Linked DNA regions of Astyanax mexicanus. The protein of the gene in region 2 purifies or fractionates together with the protein of the main gene of each other region. This does not show direct contact. Links are inferred from orthologs where the notes say so. Each region holds a gene or a part of one and is shown on either strand. Other genes may lie near its edges.

The links.
Region 1: the proteins of histone RNA hairpin-binding protein (region 2) and ctif purify together in Homo sapiens (affinity purification with western blotting; 3 studies listed by BioGRID). This does not show direct contact. The link is inferred for Astyanax mexicanus from reciprocal best matches to the Homo sapiens genes SLBP and CTIF.

The regions. Positions count from the first base shown.
Region 1 is NC_064424.1:46,833,291-46,840,469, reverse strand, and holds the start of ctif (CBP80/20-dependent translation initiation factor), read right to left. Parts: upstream 3,166-7,179; 5' UTR 2,987-3,165; intron 1-2,986. UniProt on the Homo sapiens protein: Specifically required for the pioneer round of mRNA translation mediated by the cap-binding complex (CBC), that takes place during or right after mRNA export via the nuclear pore complex (NPC).
Region 2 is NC_064417.1:316,708-323,959, forward strand, and holds the start of histone RNA hairpin-binding protein, read right to left. Parts: upstream 3,094-7,252; 5' UTR 2,994-3,093; coding exon 2,938-2,993; intron 1,713-2,937; coding exon 1,581-1,712; intron 1,386-1,580; coding exon 1,281-1,385; intron 1,147-1,280; coding exon 1,084-1,146; intron 986-1,083; coding exon 845-985; intron 709-844; coding exon 559-708; intron 194-558; coding exon 82-193; intron 1-81. UniProt on the Homo sapiens protein: RNA-binding protein involved in the histone pre-mRNA processing.

The DNA.
Region 1 (7,179 bases), on a different chromosome or scaffold from region 2:
ATCAGATATGTATCTGATTCACGAAAATGCGACATGAATGTGAACGGTCAAATCTGAATTTATGCATCTTGCTGCTTTTACACATTAGCATTAGCATTGGGGCTATGTGCTTGTCTCTCGTACCCACACTGTATTTCTTGGTGCAGCTGCAAAAAAAAACAGCAAAAGCAAACTGTCCTTTTTTTTTCACCTCCTGGACCTGAGCATGAACTTAAGAGCAGCTGTTTCCTGTTTCTTCACTCCAGCAAAAGATGCTCCACATATGAGCTGCTAACTCTACATCCATTTCCTTTTATAAAGCTACGAGTCTCTCCTCTCTCTAATATGAGGGTTTTTGTTGTTGGTGAAGAAGGAGGCGTTTATACAGGTATCAATGTGCAGCATGTGAGACGATTCAGGGACAGATTCTGTGTTCACATTACACACAGATACAGATCACTTACATTTACAGTGAATGTGAACCGACAAGATACACAAATCTGATCTGAGCAGCTTTTATTAGATATACTGTATATATGAACTATTTGAACATGTACTGAATGTTAACCTGACTGCAGAGCAGAGCTGAGCTGAGGGCACTGCAGCTTTAAATTAAATCATGTGCTGGAACACCCGCCCCTGTCTCAACGTGGCCGAGACTGGAGCTCAGCCAACCTCTCAACATCTGTAAAGCTCATCCCCTGTTAGCATTTTAGCCAGACATGCTAACATGCCGAGCTCTGGAGCCGGTCAACAAAGATGACGCAACAGTGCTGAGCTCCAGTCCTTCATAAAGCATGCACTGCACACTTTACAGCCTCACATGACCCACATTATTATTACTACTGCTAATACTGCAGCCAGATCCAGCAGAAAAACATAATGCTCTGTATACTCTAGAAAAGAGAGAACCTCACATTTTAATACCATAATAATATTTTAAAATGAACTGCTACCCTGCATTTTAGCTAATTTATCTCAAACTAAAACCCCAACTTTGGTTTGATAATCTTTAGGGATGCATGATGATACTGGAATTATATCAGTATCAGGCTTAATCAGCATTGGTCATGGTGTATTTATTGTATGCCGAAAAAGGATTAATGTCAAAAGATTTTTTTTTTTACCTGTTAAAAAATAGTATTTAAAGCAGTGAACAGTCTATGTAAGGATCTGTTAGCCAAAAAAAATGAAAAAAAAAAAAAATTAAGAGAAAACTTTTCAATTTTATTGTTTGCATAAGTTGGTAGAAAGCTAAAATGTAATGCAAATAAATGTAACATTTGTTTGTTAAGTTAGACCAAAAAGTATAGTATCTCTGTAAATTATAAATGTGTTTATTGGCATTGGAAGATATGGACATGTATAATATCGGTTAGCAGTTATCGGCATCAGCAAGAATTTCCACATTCCCTCTGTGCAACCCTATTAATCATTATTATTATAATCATTAGTACTATTATAACACACTAAATAAATGTGTGCATTGACAAGAACATATATATATATATATATATATATATATATATATATATATATATATATATATATCACAACGCAACAAGCTATAAATTAATATATTGCAATATACTGAATTGTATATTAGGAGTGTGTCATATCGTATCGTACACAATCATATCGCCAACATTTATATCTGTCCAGTATGATTTATTTTACTTTAATTTTGGACATATGGAGATATTTGGATAATTTACTTTTGTTATAAATCTGATAATATTCTTGTATTTTTTTTAAGATCTCAGTTAGGGGTATGCTGTTTCATATCGTATGCAATAATAAAATTACATTTTCATTTCGTTTCAGTAGTGTATTCTTAAAATATGTATATATTTTATTCAGTGTTTTGTCATATCACCAAAAGTATCGTTATCGTGAAAATATCATGAAATATCGTGATATTATTTAAGGGTCATATCACTCATCCCTACACAACACACGGCCAAAATAAATCAACCACTTAATCATTCAACTGATCAATCAATCAATCAATCAGGACAACAATGCAGCGCAATTCAAGTCAATGGCCAAACAGAGATTACTGATTGATTAATGATAAAAAGCAGCCAGCCAGATGAGTGAAGCTAACTAGTTAGCCTAACGTGGAGAATTAAGCCTAACTACCTTATTTAAGTAGTTAAATACAGCTCTGGAAAAAATTAAGAGACCACTTAAGTTTTTAAATAAATTTATCTGATTTTGCTATTTATAGGTTTATGTTTGAGTAAAATGAACATTATTGTTTTATTCTATAAACTACAGACAACATTTCTCCCAAATTCCAAATAAAAATATTCAATATCAATTAGAGCATTCATTTGCAGAAAATGTGAATTGACTGAAATTACTAAAGAAATCATATTCATAAAGTTTTAAGAGTTCAGAAATAAATATTTGGTGGAATAACCCTGGTTGGTTTTTAATCACAGTTTTTTTTTTCATGCATCTTGGCATCATGTTCTCCTCCTCCACCAGTCTTACACACTGCTTTTGGATAACTTTATGCTGCTTTACTCCTGGTGCAAAAAATTAAGCCGTTCAGTTTGGTGGTTTGATGGTTTGTGTTCATCCATCTTCCTCTTGATTATATTCCAGACGTTTTTAATTAGTTAATTAAGTTAAATAGTTAGTTAATTAGCTAACGTTACTTAACTCTCGCTAAACCCAAACTAGCTAAGCTAACTAGCTTAACTATTGTAGTTACAGCAGATTCTACACAACAGACACGTTGTCAACAGGTTTACAGCACTAACAGAAGCAGCTCAGTGCTGATATTTATATTTTAGACTCTTCTTTTACACGCTGGTGAAGAATTTAAGTGTTTTTAAGGCGGAATAAGGCGAGTTTTAGCTGTAAACAGTGTGAGAGAGGCTCAGTAAAGCTACAGCTACACTGATGGTTCCTGACAGCGGCAGTAGCAGCGGCGGCGGCGGCTCACTGTTTACAGAGCGACCCGCTCACATAAGGGCAGAAACGCGGCCGAACTCACCCGAACTGCGGACTCAGGCTGGCGGGGGGATCCGGGCGGCCTCCGCGCGTTAAATCCGCCGGGTCATGGGTGCGCTGGCGGGGTCTGCGGGCCGGGGGACCCGGGTGTGTGTGTGGGTGGAGGGCGGTGAGGGGAAAAGCTCCGGTTGCGTTACTCAGACACGACCCGGGAGAGGAGAATGCAGGGAGTGTGACGTCACGGCTCCACTCAGGAATACTGGGAAATGTAGTCGGAGAGCGGTTTCAGCACGAGGCACCGGAAGTTCCCTAAGAGCCCGTATGTGTCTTTATTTTAAGATACAAATCATTTTTACATAGTATGCCATTAATATGATATAAGATACTTTAAGTCCTTTTTAATTTGTTATTTTCTGATACTGAGTTATTATTTTGAGATACTAAGTCGTTATTTTGTATTTAATTCATAATAACTATTTAATTAATGTTTTTACTATAGGTTTACTAGATACTGTGGTATTTTAAGATATTCAGTTATTATTTTGAGATATTCAATCGTTTATATCAGTATAATGAGTCTTTCATATTGCAGCGTATTGTTTGCATTTCATACAAACACATTGTAATAACACGTAATTACTCAATATTTTTTTCTGAATTAACAAATATAGAGTAAAGTTAAAATTCAATTTAAATAACTTTTTTTACATTATGTACAGTTTTTATTGTTGTGTTTTTTTGTTGTTTGATAATTCTATTGCGAGGTAAAATAAATGTACATTAATTATCCAAAACCTAACTTGGAGGGTTATGCATCTAAGACACTGTATAACACAAATGTTATATGTAACACATATACTATCAGTATACTCATGGTAGTAACAGATTGCAGTTTATATGGCTACAAAATACATAATGTATATATATATATATATATATATATATATATATATATATTTTTTTTTTTTTTTTTTTCAATTTCGCCGTAAATACGTTATTAGTAATAATATTACTGCATTATTTGTGATGCTATGAGCTTCATCAATAAATCACTGGCGTGTTTATAAAGGAATATTTTATATTTCTTAATTTATTTGAAAGTTTGCTGATGTGTGGCGCCGCCTGCTGGTTACATCGACATACTGCCGCATCAGCCTCTGTCCATCGTTTCCACTGCCCCCTTCTGGTCACAACAACACATGGCAACAGAAAAATAATTACTGTTTTATGTTTTATGTACATACAGCTCTGAAGAAAATAAGAGAGCACTTAAAAATAATGAGTTTCTTTTTAATTTTATCAAATTTAAAACCTCTGGAATATAATCAAGAGGAAGATGGATGATCACAAACCATCAAACCACCAAACTGAACTGCTTGATTTTTTGCACCAGGAGTAAAGCAGCGTAAAGTTATCCAAAAGCAGTGTGTAAGACTGGTGGAGGAGAACATGATGACAAGATGCATGAAAAAAAAACTGGGATTAAAAACCATTTGGATTATTCAACCAAATATTGATTATTTCTGAACTCTTAAACTTTATGAATATGAACTTGTTGTTTTCTTTGCATTAAGTGAGGTCTGAAAGTTCTGCATCTTTTTTGTTATTTCAGCCATTTCTCATTTTCTGTAAATAAATGCTCTAAATGAGAATATTTTTATTTGTAATTTGGGAGAAATGTTGTCTGTAGTTTATAGAATAAAACAACAATGTTCATTTTACTCAAACATAAACCTATAAATAGCAAAATCAGAGAAAAAAAAGAAATCAAAGAAAACAAGTTCATATTCATCAAGTTTTAAGAGTTCAGAAATCAATATTTGGTGAAATTACCCTGGTTGGTTTTTAATCACAGTTTTTTTTTAATGCATCTTGGCATCATGTTCTCCTCCACCAGTCTTACACACTGCTTTTGGATAACTTTATGCTGCTTTACTCCTGGTGTAAAAATTCAAGCAGTTCAGTTTGGTGGTTTGATGGTTTGTGATCATCCATCTTCCTCTTGATTATATTCCAGAGGTTTATAATTTGGTAAAATCAATAAAACTCATTTTTTACAGAGCTGTATGTCCCTATGTTTGTTCCACGTTGTTTAATGAATAAAGTTACTTTAAGTTACACTCAAATTACTGACATTAGAGACAGTTATTCCAATAAAAGCAGGATAAACTTTTTTAATACCTTAGTTTTAGAAGAAACAATGAGTGACCAGGTGTCTCAAATAGTTTTGCTCATATAATGTATGTGCAACACACACACACACACACACACACTAGCTGTGAAGGTCATGGGAGCTGATGGTCCTCTCTAACACTCTGCAGTTGCTTTTCACATGTTTTCTGAGAACTTTTCTAATCGACAACAACCACACACACACACACACACACACACACACACACACATACAGAAAGCACAGTTCCAAGTCTCATAAGCATGCATGGATGCGCACATTTACACACACACACACACACACACACACACACACACACACACACACACACACACACACACACACACACACACACACACACGCACACACACACACACAGTCAGAAGTCTCCTGAAGTTCCACACTCTCCAGATGGCTGTGACACTTTAGCTGTCGCTGTCAGAGACTAATTAATCTTCCTGGTGAGATCCATCTTCCTGCAGACTTCCAGCACCCTCCTCTTTCCCATCCCTTCATCCCTTCCCTCACTTCATCACTCCATCTTTCACCCTCCACACATTACCTAACACCAGCCTGCGCCCCAACACACACACACACACACACACACACACACACACACACACACACACACCTTCCCAAGTCAAGTGTGCAACACTTTCCTTAAATCTTACCTTAGGTCACTGTTAACATCCAACTTTACTTTATCATTGTAATTCTTCTGAGTGATTCATACAGCTCTGGGACAAAAAGAGATCGTTTCAGTTTCTGAATCAGTTTCTCTGATTTTGCTATTTATAGGTTTATGTTTGAATAAAATGAACATTGTTGTTTTATTCTATAAACTACAGACAACATTTTCTCTGGAGGTTCTGGGTAATTTTCTCTTTTATGTTTGTTTTATGCTCTGTGATTTTTTTCCCATCCAGAACGATCATGTACGTGTTTTTTCTCATATTAATGCAGGTGTATACGGTACTGTGCAAAAGTTTTAGGCACCAGAGCAATATGAGTGTTTTTTTTTTACCTGAAAAAAAGGACCACATATGATTTGAACAGATGCAAATAAACATAAATACAGTAAAACGTAACAAGGAATTGTTACTTATTTTAACTAAGTATGTTAAATACTGTTTTATCCTGTGAGCCAATAAGGTGAAGAACAAGACCAAACCAGGTGTTGATTAATATGATGAGAACTAGAAATAAATAACTCTATTAAACTCTATTAGATGAGGAGGTGAGATTAGGAGATGTTGTTTTAAGGAAAACTTAAAACACCTATTTATTGTAATGCTGAGATAATGTGTTTTACTAAGATAATAAACACTTACTGCACAGATAAAAGCTTTTTCTTTACTTAAAATTTCCACAGGTGCCTAAAACTTTTGCACAGTACTGTATATATAAGGAAATAGTGAAGGCAATGGTAGAGAAAACTGAGAGAAAGCTGAACGAGCGAGAGAGTAAGAGCAGTATAGTGAGTGAGAGGCTGAGCTGTTGGCTGGTACAGTAGGCAGTAATTAGTGAGGGAGAGTCCGTCGCAGTGATGATATTTCCGTGAGGCTGCGGCCTGCGCTTAAAAAAGAGCCAAAGACCAAAACATGGAATTAAACTGAGCGTCTCGTTCACTACTGCAGCCTCGGCCCTCCGTCTCTGACCCGGATCCCATCTATAATCCATTACAGCCTCATATTAACCACCCAGCTGCCCTCACACCCACCTACAGCAGCCTGCCCTGCACCGAGCTGCAGATCCGGCCTCCAGACCCAACGCCCTGCGTCTGTCTCTGACTCACTGATGGAACCGGTGCTTATCAGGCTCTGGGTTAGCAGCAGTGGGGCGTCCGAGTTCAAAGACTGGACACACAAGCAGGTCACGCGTCTGAAGGTAATTTTGTCCTTAAACACAAAACATAGTAACACTACTTACAAACACTATAGCAACCACCTAGCAACACCATAGCAATGACTTAAAATACAATGGCAACCACTTACCAACACCATACCAAAACCTTGCAACCACTTAACTATACCATTTTATCCACCTAGTCACTAGAACTAGAAGCC
Region 2 (7,252 bases):
AAAAAAGCAATAAATGTTTTATAGCAAAATACAGATCCATAAATCCACACTTTCTAATATTTTCACGTTTAAACAACTTACCTGTGGCAACGAAGATGAAACACTACTACTGGTCTTTGGGTACTGAAGCTCATCTACTGAAGCTTCCATATCAAAATCCAAATCCATGATCTCACCAAGGTCAATCTGATCTCTAAAGAAAGCAAAGAGAAGAGAACTTTAACATTTCAATGAACATCAAAGGAGGGAGACTTTGATATGATTTTTTTATAGACTATCTGAAATTGAAATGGTAACAATTTACAATTACAGTAAATATCAATTGCACATGTTTTTTGCACAGTAATGAGTCACCTTAACATTTATATATTCTTAAATTTAATGACTAAATCTCAGTCAAATCTAAACATATGTACTTTTGCATTTATTTAATCAATTATCTATTAATATGAGCTGCATTAAGTATGCATGATTTTTAGATACAAAAGAAAAGACAACTTTTTTTAATGCATAATATATGCCTAAGAATATACTAAAATACAAGAAATAATTACTTACGCTGCCTGCAGGTCGTTGCCCTCTTCAGTAGGAGGATCCCACGCGTGAAGTTTGACTTTCCACAGTTTTATCTGCTGATCCCAAGAGCGGCGGCTGTATTTCTTAAACTTGTTAGGAGTTCTGGGGTGGACTCCTGGCTGTCTCAAATGTCTAGGAAGAGAATATAAATAAATATTAAAGAATAAACTGATGGATTAGATAAAGCAAATATATATAGTTTAGGAATTTTAGGCGAGACTAGAGTGTAAATAAAAATGGCAACAGAATAATAAAGCATTTCACTCACTTTGGCACTTCTTTAATGTATCTGTCATAAGCGAGTGTGTTCTTTCCATAGTTGATCTGCTTTTGTCTCCTCATTAAAACAGACTCATCTGTCTCAAATTCTCCAGGTGCAGGAGAGTCCCTGGAATCTTTGGAGTCTGAACTGCACACAAAATGAAAAAAAAAAAAAAAAAGCATTAATACTAAACCCCTTCAATTTCACAATAGAAGAAAATCTTAGCAATATTAGCCATAACAAACCTTCCAGACGAGGTTTTTCTCTCTCTTTGTGTAAACTCTCCAGCCAGTATCCTTCGTCTGTAACTGAAACAACAAGAAATATTAAATTTACAGACAAGCACAGATCTGCTTGACATTAACTAAACCTGCTAAAGCCTGTAACAAAACACATAAATAAGTAAATTAAAAAAGAAAAGAGAAAAAGAAAGAGAACTGACCGCTGCATGTCACGTCGCACATTAGTGCGCATTTCATCAAACTCCACCTCATCTCCCCAGTCCCTTATCCTCGAGACAGGTCCCTCGCTTTCTGGAGTCGTGAAACTAGTGGTGGAGAATAAAAACATCATTATTTAACCTGCTACTGCTTTTTAGAACACAGAGAAAGACATTCAAAATTATGCCTAAAACAGGGTACTAATTTTTGACACCCCTGACCAAAACACATGCGCACACACACAAAAGGAATCATAACTTTATTCTAACAAAAACATAAATAAAATACAGAAATATCTTTACCTGTTAGGTCTGTGCGGTCTGTTGCCTTTTCTGTCAGTGTTATTAGTTAATTCAGCTTCTTTCTGTGATCCTCTCACGACTCCATCAGCTCCACGCTTCCGGCACTGCGACCATCTGGAAGACCCTTTGTTCCTGACAGAATCACACAGACACAGGGGGTTAAAAACAGAACTGAATCAGACAAAAACAAACAGAAAAAAACATTCAGAATACTTCTTCTTTCAGTTTATATGTCACCAAATATATTCAGAATCAAAGTTTAAAAGACTTTCTATAAAAATGTCACATAAGCATTTGCAAATTAAACCAGCTTTAAGTTTTAAACAATTCTAAACACATCAACGCTCTATTTAATGTTAAATTATTTAGTTTGTTTATTTATTTAGTGTGTTAGTCGTCAGGTAACGCCAGCTAATCTAGCAGCTTTATTTTTCTGGAACTCAGAACTCAAACTGAACAACAGCACTTTACCATTTCGCGCCAAAGCAGAAGAGACTCCAGCGCTCAAGCTTTTCTCCAGCCAATTCAGAATTAAATACTATTATTTACACTTAACATAATACTTGATTATATTAATAATAAAGTTCAGCTGTCGCTCAGTTAACTTGTCCGCTCGCAAATTTGCTAAGCCTAGGTTAGCTAGTTAAGTATGTTTAATATGACATTTAGTTAGTCTAGCTAAGTTAGTTATTTTAGTACAAAACAAAAAATATATAAAAATATATATAGTCAAATCACAAGCTTAATGACCGAACCAGCCAGCTGTTAGCTAGTTAATAAACTAGCATTGTAACTGTTTTATTAATGTAGTTAAATTAACAAGCTCACCATTAATAAACAAACACTCCAGCACAATGAACAATGCAGTTCAGCAGGGTTAAATAACTATCTATCTATATAACAACGAATCCAAATCAAGCTCTTCAAGGTTAACTAAAAATAAAAACTCTTGCACTAGTTAGTTAGTTAGTGTTAGGTTATGTTACTTAAAGTTTGTTACACAGCTTCAACATAAAAAATGAGGCACACTTAACGTTAAATAGCTTAGCAAGCTAACTTAACTAAATAACACAATCAGCAGCAAATTAATAAATCAATAAAAGTGTAAAGGCTGGTACCTAAATATTAAATAAAGTATAAATTTGCTAAAACAGCTCCAAAAACGAACAGCAGCTCTCAGATAGCCGGATAATAATCCCGCGGTTTCTGAAACTCGCGGGAGAAATGAAGCTAAGCTAACTAGCCTAGCCCAGTCCGGCTAACTCACACACAGATCCGGGTAAAGCGGAGATAAACACGGATTTATTGAACTTTAATCCCCACAAACTACATCTAATCAACCCTGAAACACATGTACCTGTTCTCCTCCGCAGCGCAGCTCTCCTCCTGTCTGTATCTGCGCGGGTCAGACATGATTTAAAGGGTTTAAAGCGGAGCTGCTGCTGCTGCTGCTGGATGATGATCTGGTGTTGCTCAGGGTTTGATAAACCGCGCCACAGTCCCGCAGCCCCGCCACACTACACCGCCTACACCCGACAAAATAAAAGTCCCCATTTTGGCGCCTCCTTTCTCTACCATAAATAATGGTGAATATATTGAATATTTTTGATGACCCTTTATTTTGATCACAATGATATACAAATATAGTTAACAAATATATACAAATATAGTAAATTTAATTATTATTTTAGGACATTTTTATATACACCATACTAAATTAACTTTTTTTTTCAAACTTTTGTTTACTCAGACTTAATTATTATAAAATATATATATATAAGAATAATTATTTCCACTTACTGACTAATTTTCGACAAAATAAAAATAAAAAATGTCATAAATCCATCGATATTTTGAAGCGTTTTAATTTTATTTGAATCCCACTTTTCTTTTTTTCTGTTGTTTAGTTTTTTTTTGTTTTAAAGTGCATGTGCTGTTGTGGACTGTTGTTGCTGTGTATTTGACCTATTATTGTGTATATTTCATGCTGTTGGATTGTATTGTTTATTGTTTGGATACAAAATGAATAATAATAATGAAAAAAAACAACAACAATGTGTTTTGGGTTGATAACTAGTGGATTTAAGTTACTACAAACTGTACATTTTGTGATTTGTAACCAGAATCTGTTTTACATGTTTTTTGTATGTTTTGTTTGGTTTCACTAATTATGAGAAGGGACTGAAAATATATATATATATATTTAAATGTAATCTAATTTGCATTTGTTTGTTCTTTTTCCTCCCTGGCTATATTGTTTTTTTGGTGTGTGAGTTAATCTTTGTTGTTTGGAGTTGTGAACCATTTTTTGGTTAAATGTATCTATTGCAAACTTTTTTAGGAATGACTTTTTTGTTTTTATTAGAACATTGAAGTCATTATTGAAACCTATGCCTTCAGTCTTACTTAGAAAATTGTTTTTACAAAGACCTAAAGCACATACTTTATAGTAACCTAGCTTAAAGGCCACTCTTGGAGGCTCATGAGTAAGAAATTATAAATATGTTTATAATATTTAATCTAGAACCCTGATATTTCTCCCGTTTTTCTTGTTCACACTAGGCAGGTAAATCCAGTCTGATCTGACAGCAGCTGCCGACTCTTTATTGCCATCCTTTAAAAACTGCTCAGGTCATTTAAATAGTTTTGCATTGCAAAGATCTCTATTGTTTAAACCATTTGCTCTTTATAGAAATGGAAATGTGACCCTTGTTTGTGCTTTTGTTAGACAAATAATAAAAGTCTTTGTTTTTTTTTATGACTTGAAGATTAGACCACAGTTTAAAACCTTCTCACAGAATCACAGACTGTGGCTATAATAATAATGAGAAATATATTTAATCCTTATTTATTAGGCCTTTTTTATTTGCATTATATACAAAATGACTTAAAAACCTCATGAGAAAAGAAAAAGTTAGAGTAAGAGTAAGAAAAAAAATCCCAAACTTCTATCTCTTCACTAAATAAACAGATAATATAAAAATATAACCAATATTATATAAGCACAATTCTTTGTTTAAAGAAAAGGCAAAAGGTAAAAAAATACATAAATAAAACTTCTTCTTGTAACTATAATAAATGTCCAATGAAATTAAACCTGTATTTTTTGGCAAGATAATAAAAAAGATGCTCTGCCACTAAAGACAGATTAAATATTTTCAGATTAAATATTTTTATTAGATTTTTTCAAAGATGCATTTTTAAAATACATTAAAATCATTACATACCAGGCCTAATTCACAGAGTTCAGAGACTAGAAAAAAGCCAAACAGAGCAGAGCCCACAGAAATACAAGAATAACTTACCCACAACCATATACACCTTATGATAAATATACAAATGAATAAATCATAGAATAAATAGAATTAAGATTTCCACATACACACAAAGTAGACCATATATATGATTCAAATCAAATTTTAGTTCCTCCAGAGGTGAAGGCTGTGTAACCCACATCCAGATAAAGGGCATCTAACAGACGGTTTTAGACCACAGCAGTAGTGATAAGGATTTTTAGATTTTAAGTACAGACTATAAAGTTTCAGTACGAAACCTTTATAACAGCAGCTCCCACAGAGCACTGCATCTATACAACACACAAAAACAAGGCATTACACAATGCTAAATATAGCTAATTATTATACATCAATTAATGCTGAGCATGTATTCACTATAGTAGAGATCAGGGAGTTATAAAGCCTTCCATCCTCCAATCAGAGACAAGCTAGAATGATTGCTCATTGTGCACATGCTCAGTTACTGTTCCTATTAAAAAGGAGCCAGATTTAAAACTACCAAATAAATTTCAAGTGTTCAATGTTCCAAATTATATTTTTTATATCACGTTTTTAGACTCTGTCCTGTCTAGTAATCCAAACAAGTTTTACTAGAATCCCTGTTTTATAAACTTAAAAATGGCACTAGGGTCAGACTGGTTTACGAGGCTAAGTCATGGTTGGTGATACTGGGACAGTAAATGCCTGAACAATGTCATTTTAGATTATAGATTTTAAAAACCAAAGCAAAAAACTCTCCCCCATGATTATAGTGTAAAAGTGTCTGCCTCTAATTTAGAAATCTTGAAAAGGAATTGTTTAAATTAATGTTAGTCCTTTTTTAAAATGGCAAAGTTTAACAAGCAAACCAAACCTCTGAAAGTATTTTAACTTTATTCAGCACCATTAACTGCTACTGCGATTTCTTATTTCATTTTTTGTGGTTTAAAAATAACCTTGAAAAGCTTAGAGAAAGTCCTTATGATTGTTGAAAGTGTAAAGCTCATATCTTTCAGTATGATTCTGGGTTGTCTTCTACCTTGTTCTTTGTGTAAAACATGACTGTTGTAACTCTGCCCTGTTAAAATGAGTGTATTTACTGTATAAGATCACTTAAAGCAAAGCAGTGAGGGCAAGCAGACAAACTCTTGTTCAACAAAAACAGGTACATTTTATTCATGTGGTGAAACACTTAATGAAAAATGCCTTTTACACAACCTTCCAAGACAGCATTACAGAGATACATTCCATCCATACATTACAGAGGAACAGTTTCAGAACCACTGCCTTTATACTGATACATTAAAAATAGATCTATAAACTCCTTGTTTGGGCTTCTGGTAGCTTCTACAGTCTAAGACGCAGAAATCGAGCAGCTCCTGAATTAAAGATCCACATCAGACAGTGTCTTCATCTTCCATCAGATGAGGTCCAGTTCTCCATCTCCCTGCAAACAGAATCACAGGTCACCCTCTCCTGTTACAGAACTATAAGAGAATACAGGTTAAAGCGTGTAGCAGGCCTTCTAGTCAGGTTTATGTAGATCAGTTCAACTAAAACCTGTGCCAGTCCTGCATATGATCTCCCAAGATAAAAAAACATCACGACAAAACAGTCTGCCATGATGGTATCGACTTGGGGTGAATAATGAATAAACGCATCATTACCTCAACCTACAGTCAGGCCAGTTAAATCCAGGAGGATATTCCCTGTAGAGGAAATTCAGACAAGTGAGACAAAAAGTACAGTTAAAAACTAGTTAAAAATGAAGCACAACTTTTGCTCAGTGATTTTTTTTAATGTTTCTTCACTTTACAGTAAGAATAATGTGTTGATTTTAAAACATCACAGCAACCATATAATATCAGATTATTATAACTACAGGAAAACTTACCATATATATAGAGCACAAAGTCACTTTCAAGAGGATAAAACACCAGCTGTTTTGATGTGATCAGTACCTGTGAAGAAAAAGCACTTTAAAAAAAAGTTGTTTTTTTTACCCAAAGCAATCTGACAGAGTGAAGAGTCTGTACTCAGAGGATGAAGTTCATCATGTAGATCAAAATGATTAGATGCAGTCACTGTACAGACATCAGATAAAAGACAAGATAGATCAGAGGATGAGTAGATTATGAGTCCAGGAACTTTTGCTACGACTCCTTCACCTTTCCTATTCCTCTTCTCCAGAAGAAGGTGGAGGTAGAGAAGAGGACAAATTGAGAGAAGGAACATCAGTAATGTGGACAGCTGATCCAATTTATTACAATGTTGGCTACTAATGAAATGAGCCAATCACAATACTCGCTTTCAAGTTCATCTTTCAGCTCAATACAGTCCAGCCAATCACAGCTGCTGAAAGCTGTCAGCACAAACACGGCCATCTTTTTATCTGTG